2 linked regions of the Nothobranchius furzeri genome follow. The protein of the gene in region 2 purifies or fractionates together with the protein of the main gene of each other region. This does not show direct contact. Links are inferred from orthologs where the notes say so. Each region holds a gene or a part of one and is shown on either strand. Other genes may lie near its edges.

What was found.
Region 1: the proteins of sap130a (region 2) and suds3 purify together in Homo sapiens (affinity purification with western blotting; 3 studies listed by BioGRID, with this or other methods). This does not show direct contact. The link is inferred for Nothobranchius furzeri from reciprocal best matches to the Homo sapiens genes SAP130 and SUDS3.

Annotation. Positions count from the first base shown.
Region 1 is NC_091750.1:34,584,961-34,589,460, forward strand, and holds the start of suds3 (sin3 histone deacetylase corepressor complex component SDS3), read left to right. Parts: upstream 1-1,663; 5' UTR 1,664-1,873; coding exon 1,874-1,985; intron 1,986-2,017; exon of another isoform or gene 2,018-2,730; coding exon of another isoform or gene 2,731-2,746; intron 2,747-3,463; coding exon 3,464-3,533; intron 3,534-3,622; coding exon 3,623-3,678; intron 3,679-3,860; coding exon 3,861-3,932; intron 3,933-4,231; coding exon 4,232-4,251; intron 4,252-4,357; coding exon 4,358-4,500.
Region 2 is NC_091756.1:60,902,492-60,907,001, forward strand, and holds the start of sap130a (histone deacetylase complex subunit SAP130a), read right to left. Parts: upstream 2,927-4,510; 5' UTR 2,815-2,926; intron 2,798-2,814; exon of another isoform or gene 2,678-2,797; intron 2,233-2,677; 5' UTR 2,217-2,232; coding exon 2,108-2,216; intron 2,019-2,107; coding exon 1,753-2,018; intron 1-1,752. UniProt on the Homo sapiens protein: Acts as a transcriptional repressor. May function in the assembly and/or enzymatic activity of the mSin3A corepressor complex or in mediating interactions between the complex and other regulatory complexes.

The sequences.
Region 1 (4,500 bases), on a different chromosome or scaffold from region 2:
AAATAAAATTATATGCGTGTTTGACTAAATAAAACGCGACGTAGACGTGTAGATGAGGCATGTCCCAACAGAGATGCTGCTTCAAACTAAAAGGCTGCAAACACAAACCAAAGCAGGGAGAATTCTACACCATATTTTCTTAGGAAGTCATTAAAAATGCATGAACTGAGTCATCCCGGTTCCGTTAGCTGCAAACCTGGTTTGTCCAGATTATAATCTGTCCAATGCTGCCATCTGATGGTGTACTGTAAAAGTTAATCTATTTAACAAATAAAATTATATTTACATGTGAAATGCTCAATAATTTGCTATGTAACTGCCTTTGGTCTGTATTTATTTATTTACTGGATTTTTTTTTATCAAAAGGTGCTATTACAACAGTAATTTTTATTTTCAACATTTTTTCATCATAAGTTATTACATTTTCTCCCATTTTTTTAATCTTAATGTTTTTTTTTTCAGTTTTTTAAGCACTTTGTGATTCTTATCTTGAGAGGATGCTATACAAAAAATCCTTTCCAAGACGTAATGTTGCTGAAAAAGTGAGATTATCTTGACCTAAAACAAAACAAAATGCAACCAATTTGAAAAGCTAAATATATGGGAACCATTAACTAAAATTAAAAAATATTGCCTCTCAAGCGTATTAAAAATAATTTTCCTTAGTATGCCATATTATTACTCTTTCGGGCATCAATGGAAAGGATTTTTTTTAAATAAAAGAGCTACACAAATTTAAGGTGACTGAAAACTTTTGCTAGGGATTCTGTTTAGAAATGCATGCACTAGTACAAAACAAATAGATGTTTGATTTGGAAATGTATTCTTTATTTACATGTTTACTGCATGATATTGACAGATGCATATAAACAAGAACAGTGATTGCTTCAACATCTTATTTTGAAAAGACACCACAGCTTAGTTAATCAATCTACAAAAATAACTAAGGTATACAACAAATACAGTTTTCGCTGTAAAATAATTATTAGACATTTCAGATGTCTAATATGCCAGTTTTAATAAACCGGTGGTCAAACACATATACTCGTTGCATTTTGTATATTGTATTAAAGATGAACATAATCGAAGGTGTGCTAGGTCATACGGCAAGTCGTCTTCTCCCTGTATTTCTGTGGAAAAGCGTTGTATCAATAAAAAATATTAATCAGTGGTTGCAGATGACTTTCAATGCACATTTAATATATTATTGGCAAATATATGGTGCACAAGCCACTAATAAGCACATTATAATTTTTATGTGACAAATACATAAATAAAAACAGGAAGCAGAACAAAAACAAAAAGAAAGAAAATGATTCGTGACTAGGCTAACATTACATAATTTACAACAAGCACCCAGCCCAAGATTTAATTTATTCATTTATCGGCTATTTATCATGGAAACACTCTCAAAAGATTTAGCAACAGAGGCAATGATGTTAGGCATTTGACAGATGATACTTTTAATTTTTCGCAACAGACTCACTGATTTTTTTAAATAAACGTTTCTTTTATAAACCTTACTAGAAATAAAAAAAACAAAAAAACAAAAAAACAAATCTATCCCGGTTTGCGAAGTTAACGGTTTGCCTGATTTCACGAATGCCAAATGCTTAAGTTGTTTCAATGCAGAAAATGTTTCTGTCACTTGAATATCGTTAAAGAATCCTCATTTAGTCTACTCAAAATGTAATTAAAAAAAAAAAGATATTCTTCTTTGGTTTGAAACGGTTTGAAATGGAGATTTTGACCAGGCATATACTTGGACACCTTGAAGACTGGGGGTCCTACCAGTTGTAGGCGCAGTTTCAAGCAAGCAGCAAAACACAAATCGATAGTTTATTTTGTTTGTTTACATTGCCCGTACGAGCAAATGGCTTCCACATTAATTTCTCCTATAGTGGATTATTACAATGATGAAGAAGAGCTCGACAGTGTAGATGAAGATGATGATCGGAGTTTCCGGGGAAGGGATTCGGAAGAAGGTAAAGAAATAATACACGACAACCTCACTTGCCGTCGGGCTCTGTCTACTTGCTGGAGCAGAAACGGAAATTCGCGGTTGTTGCTTCAGTGTATCTATTTAGGGCAACTATTATACAAATCTACCATGCTTGAAGAAACAAATTATTAAGAGAATGTTTTAACAGTTTTGTTTGAAACCCTAGGCGGGGAGATGTGAAATCTTTGAGTCCGTTTCTGCCTTACTCGCACAATAGTTAGCTATCCACGCTAATCACTGCGAAAAGCAGCGAAAAATGAGTTTCTGGTGGCGTTTATCAGTAACACTCCAAGTAAACGCTTATTTTATTGTCAGCGTGTTTGATTATTTCTTTTACAAACTGTATATGAAATTATATTCTGTATGCACGAGCTTCTGGAAGTTTAGCAACAACGTTTTGCTCATTTTTTGTTGCAAAACTACCACAGTTTTAATAGTCTTTTACCACCGGATCAGATTGAGCAATACACAGAGCACGTTAGCTATTATTTTGACGTTGACGTCATTATTTACAAGCTATAATAATATTATTGCACGTATCTTGACGCAGCCTGCGCTTTTTATGTCCCCCGGGTCTTTTCCCCAGACGGTGAACACATCGTTAATTAGCCAGTCGGCTACGTGACGTTAGCTTTGAGCGTTGACAGGTTGACCACTGCTCTGCCCTTTTCACTCCAGTCAGACCGGACGGTTAGCAGTGAAACAGACACCAAGAAGGAAACAAGGTCATGACAACACTACAAGGTTTGCTTTTGTCGCGACGCCGACTTTCAGACGGACATTGTTGATTATTCCCTGTTTTTCTCCGCATCGGATCTTTTTATCTTTAAACGTCAGAGCTAACCGGCTAGCACACGAATGCTAACTGAAAATGAAAGCTGCTGTGTCAGCTTAACTGGGCCTTTGTCACCTTTTTGTCCCAAGGTTTGAAGGTTAAAATCAGGCTGATCTGAGTTATCCAGCGCTTACAAACTTCACTCCTGAGTTTCCTTTAGCCGTCGCTGGTAAAAGGTGAAACTCGTCGGCGTCGCTGTCAGAGCTGTCAGAGGTCTGACAGATACACTGACCGAATCCGCCGGTCACTTCGCTGATTAATCGCACCGTGCGGCAAAAGCTCCACATCCAAACCAGCTGCCACCTCATCGATCGTCGTGTTTATGTGTTTTCATTCGAACTTACATTGCTGGAAAAGTCGGCTCGGTTCGAGCCGAACTTTTTCTCCGGTCACTCGGCTAATGCGGGTTTCCCGTGTTCTCCTAATCAAACAAACCAGAGTGCATCCCGAGAAGGGTGTTCACCATTATCTCACCACTGCCACGCACGTCCCTCCGTGCAGGAGACCTGTCCTGCGTGTACAACGCTGTAAACATCACATGCTTCTGCTCTCAGACGCAGTAACGCACCTGGTGAGTGTTTTCAGGCTCACTGGAGAGTTTTAAAATGAAGTCTGCTTTTTCTCAGATACTGAAGATGCCAGTGAGACAGATCTTGCCAAGCATGATGAGGATGACTATGTGGAAATCAAGGAACAGTAAGATGTTTTAAATATAATCGTTATTTTTTCTAAAGTCTTGGTTTTTGCTTGTATTCATGACTTTTGTTGTGACCTTTCTTTTCCAGAATGTACCAGGATAAACTGGCCTCTCTGAAAAGACAACTACAGCAATTACAAGAAGGTATAAATAACAAAAGTTAGTTTAAAACGCATTTCTTTGTTTGCAGATACTGTTTAAAAGTGCTTACCCTTTGCCATTAGCTGTATAATACACCAGTGTGCTTCCACATGAGTGCTTTTCTTGTGTGTTTAATGTGTTAGAAGTTAATCTTGGATACAGAACATTTTTTATTCCTTCTGCAGGCACATTGCAGGAGTACCAGAAACGGATGAAGAAGCTGGACCAGCAGTACAAAGAGAGACTCCGAAATGCAGGTAAGACCACACCGGCTGTTCTCACTTAACTGATTACATGTTTGTGTCAACAAGCTCATTAGAGTTTCCTTTATGCTGTTTTATTACAACCAGACTGAATATGTACTGCACCGCCATCTGGTGATAAAAGCTTGCAGGCTGTGTTTATCTATTTGTTTGAAAATGTTCTTCCCCCCCCCCCCCCCCCAAATCTGAGGCTATGAGCATTTAGCAAACTTACTAAAGTCTTGTCTAACATTGTTTTTAGTTTTGTTGAAGAGTTTTTAAATGACAAAATTGTTTTAATTTTCACTTTACAGATTTATTCCTTCAGCTCGAGGTAAGCACGCCCAGCAAGGCGTTTTTGCCAAGCGCTGTTTCTATTCTACTTATTTAGAATTGCAGCGTACTCCTGGCGTTTTTCTCCCGCGTTTGGTTTCGTCCAGACGGAACAGGTGGAGCGGAACTACATCAAGGAGAAGAAGGCAGCAGTGAAGGAGTTTGACGATAAAAAGGTCGAGCTGAAGGAAAATCTAATCGCAGAGCTGGAGGAAAAGAAAAAGATGATAGAGAATGAGAAGTTAACAAT
Region 2 (4,510 bases):
TGTTCCACTTTATTATTTTGTGTCATGAAGATAAACTGATGTTAAACTCATCTTAAAGAGAAACTGGGAGGAAGCTTTGGTTCATTTTAAGTTACAGGAGGTCTGTCTCCTATCTGCTCCTCCAGAGACAGCATGGACATGAGGGTTAAAGGGTGAGGGTCCCACAGGACAGGTTAGTGGAAAGGTTTGTAGTTAGCTGGTTAGTGAAGGAGATCCATCATCTGGGTAATTTAATCCTAATCCAGCCCACAGCCTTCTGCTGGTGTTATTATCAGAAAGAATAAAACACACATCTTAAATATTATTGGAAGTGTAGAATTTGTTTTGTGTTTTATTATTTTCTGCATCAAACAGAACTTGATTCATTCTCCAACATTTCAGAAATTAACCACTGGGTTCAAATAAAATAAACTAAGTCAAACATTTCATTTGGTGTTATTTCTGACATCCTTGAACTGTGGCATAAATATTTGACTCTAGAGCTGCTCAGAGACATTAAACACTCATATATGAACACATTATGGATTTTATTATTACATTATGTGTCCTGTAGGTTTTCAGTACTTTTTTTAGATTTTGTGAGTTTTTGCAAAGCGTGTTTTTCTCAGCCTGAGGAGTGGTGTTGAACCAGGAAACAGATGTTTTACTTTGTTAAATCTTCTTAAATGTTTAAAATGTTTTGTCCTAACCTGTTGTGAATGGAGAGATTTTGAGGGATGGCAGTTTGTGTCAATTACGTTTTTGATAAAAAAAATAAAAAGCAGTTATCTGACATCTTCTATTTATCGATGAAAACAAATCAATATGAAATAATCGTGATGCATCGGGATATCGAATCGAATTGAATCGTTGACCCAATAATCGTAATCGAATCGAAAGACAAGTGAAGATTCACACCTCTAACAACACCACATCCTCCATGCTGCAGCACCTGACCAGGAAACATCCACATGTAAATGTCACTCTACAAGATAATGCATTTTAGCCTGTATTTCTATATATTCTGCAGACACTGTGCAACTTTTTCATTTGTAGCACTCAGTTTCAGCTCACACCGTACGTCTGGTAGCAACACGTCGGACTTAAAATGTGCTAAAAATAGCAGTTTTTACAACACGTCTGACTTTTTACTCTGTTGTTATTGATGTCCGTTGTCCCTCGAGATTGCTGCAGGAGGACACGGGTGTTTATGAGTGGCGGAGGAAAACAAAAGAAAGTAAATAAATGTTTTGTGATCAGTATAATTTGACATAACCACGGCAAACATGCTTTCGACAATCCTTGTTAGTGTGAGACAAAAAAGTGTAGAAATTAAAACGGACGTGTGTTAATAGGGAAACAGCTGGCGAGCCATGTTTGCGTATGCGCCGTGAGCGGTTCTGGTGCTGTTTGGGCCGCAGCCACTCGCATTTGTTTACTGTGAAGTAAAGTTGAAGTGCTGAAATTTTGAAAACTAATTTTGAATAAAACTTGAACTGGCAATTGCTTCTCATTTCAAGAGGTCTTTCATATTTTACAACATGCTATTTCACATAATGGTTTAAAAACGCAAAAGAGTAATTTATTAGAGTACTCGATTAATCGATAAAAGATTCGATAGAGTACTCGATTACAAAAATATTCGATAGCTGCAGCCCTACAAACAAGTTCACATCTCTTGTAGGCTGTTTAATAAATCAATTTTGAAAAGCTATTAAGCATGTTGATGCATATGCAAAGCTTCTAAAAATGCTGCCAGAGAAATGTTCTCACCTTCATTTGTCCATCAGTGAGAACTGTAGGCTGTCCCTGTGGGAGGTGGACAGCAGCGGCAGGTACATTCACAGGTGTACCAGGTTGAATGGACACCGTTTGAGGAGCAGCTTGCGGCTGTCCGTGTGCCTGGACTTGTGGATAAGGTCTGACCACCATGGTCTCCTGCTTGTCATCTCTGAAAACCAACGTGGCTCCAGCCGTGGAGGGTGGATGATCCTGTTGGCCATGATCAGCAACATCCCGACTGCTGACTGTCTCACCACCTGCTCAGGGGAAATGAGGTAGACTCAGCCTCAATATTGAGATTTTCTCGACACCTTAAACAAGGACCTTTAGAGTAAACATGTGCTACCTGCAGCATTTGATGACTGGTTGACTGGCAGCAGGTTTGCAGCGGCAGGAATCTGAGATCCGCCCCCGCTAGCGGGTAGTCCGTGTCGGGGGTATTGCTGTGAGCTCATTCTAACAACCTCTGACCTAAAGGGTTAAAACCAAACATAAATCGTATTGTGCTTAAACTCTGTCGCTGTAGTGAAGGGCTGCGAGGTTAAACAGGAGTTAACTAACGCCATGCGCATTCGCGGGCGCAGAGGAGCATAGCAGGAATCCAGGATACGACCATGTAAAAACGAGGACTAGCCGTAACGTTAAACTGGTTAAGTCAAATAAATAAGTGCGACGCGGAGTAGAATATAACACACTACGCACTTTTGTTGGGTGTTATATGGTGATTACTGTGATAACACATCGCGAAAAGGGCTGTGCAATCGGTACTAGTCAAATACCAACAGTCAGGTCATTCCGAAGATACACAAACAGCTTTCAGACTACCGATAGCAACATAACCAAACGCGATCCCATGAGGAGAAAATGTCCTGTACCAAACAGTTTTGGTTCTGTAAGCCTAAAACTAAAAGCGTACCTCGTTAGCAAGCTTGCTAGCAGCAAGCTAACACTCCTCGATAACCTGATGCCCCTGCTTTTAACTTCTCAACTCTAAACAGCAAAAACTTCTGACGGCTAAACAAACAAATATATCTGAATGTGTGCAGACGTTACCGTATCGCTATATAACAAGATAATGGTCGTTCTCTGGGTTACAATTTTTCCATTCGTCTTTTCTTTTTTCCAACATGTAAACCGGAAGTATGCTCAGAAAGAACCCGAGCTATTTTGACCAATCAGAGGACAGAGTGCCAAACCAGTGACCAATCGAAGCTGCGCATTCATTCTGGTCCCACCCAGTCGTTGTTGAACCAATCCAGAACAACTGGCTTCTCAACGAGTATGAAGCTGCAGGAGCGAGGGTTGCTAGAATCCGCCAAGTGCTGCAAGACGTCCGGAGGGTGGACCCCGGTGGTCTCAGGCTCATTTACTTACAGCACCGCGAACACAAGGTGGCAACTCCACTGAACAGCACGGAGTAGTGTTGGAGAGAGAGAGAGAGAGAGAGAGAGAGAGAGAGAGAGAGAGAGAGAGAGAGAGAGAGAGAGAGAGAGAGAGAGAGAGAGAGAGAGAGAGAGAGAGAGAGAGAGAGAGAGAGAGAGAGACCCTTTGCTAATAGTGCAGTGGTGTCCAATATTCTGGTCCTTTGGGGTCATTATCACTGCTTTGCGGCATGGTGTAGGAAAATGACCTAATGTTGAATATCATATTCTGTGCCATTGTTCTCTCATACATTCATATGATATAATATTGTAACTGTAACCTTTGCTGCTTCTTGGCCAGGATTCCCTTGAAAATGAGTTTTTTAATCTCAATGGGACCTTCCTGGTTAAATAAAGAATAAATGATAAATGATGATAAATGACCTGCACTTGTATAGCGCCTCTCAGAGTAAGGACTCCAAAGCACTTTACACTACAGTGTATCATTCATCCATTCACACACACATTCACACACTGGTGGGGATGAGCTACCATGTAGCCACAGCTGCCCTGGGGCGCACTGACAGAGGCAAGGCTGCCGAGCACAGGCGCCACCGGTCCCTCTGACCACCACCAGCAGGCGGTTAAGTGTCTTGCCCAAGGACACAACAGCAGAGTTCTCTGTCCGGAGCCGGGATCAAACCTGCAACCTTCTGATTATTGGACAACCCGCTCAACCTGTTGAGCCACTGCTGCCCTCTGCTCCTGGACAAGATTGCAAATTTCAGAAGAAATAGGAATAGGTCAAACGCTATCTGCACGATGGGAGTAGATGAGGAGGTGGTTGAAGACTATAAATTCCTCGATGTCCATCTACAGACTGGACTACTGAAGCCATCTACAGGAAGAGTCAGTGCAGGCTGGACTTCTTGGGGGGGGCTTTTGCATCCTTTAAGGTTTGTAGCAAGCTGCTGCATATCTTCTATAAGTATATCATAGAGGGTGCAATCACTTGGGTCCATCACCTATTAGGATAGTATCAAAGCCAGGGACCTAAAAAGGCTCAACAACCTGATAAAGAAGGTTGGTTCCGTGCTGCAGACTATACTGTGGAACCACTGGTGATGATGGTGCAAAGAAGGATTCTTCATAAAATCAAAAATAAAAATAATTTAACAACCCAGAGCATCCTCTTAATGATACCGTAATGCAACAGAACCTTTTCAGTGGAAGGCTTCTTCAAACCTGCTGTAATACAGGAGATCCTTCCTGTCCACAGCCGTCAGCATTTAATGACTCTTTGAAAAACTTTGACTAATGTGAGATTATTATTGTTATTACTATTTTTATTGTTGTTATTATCAATGTTTTTGTACAATATAAGTTAC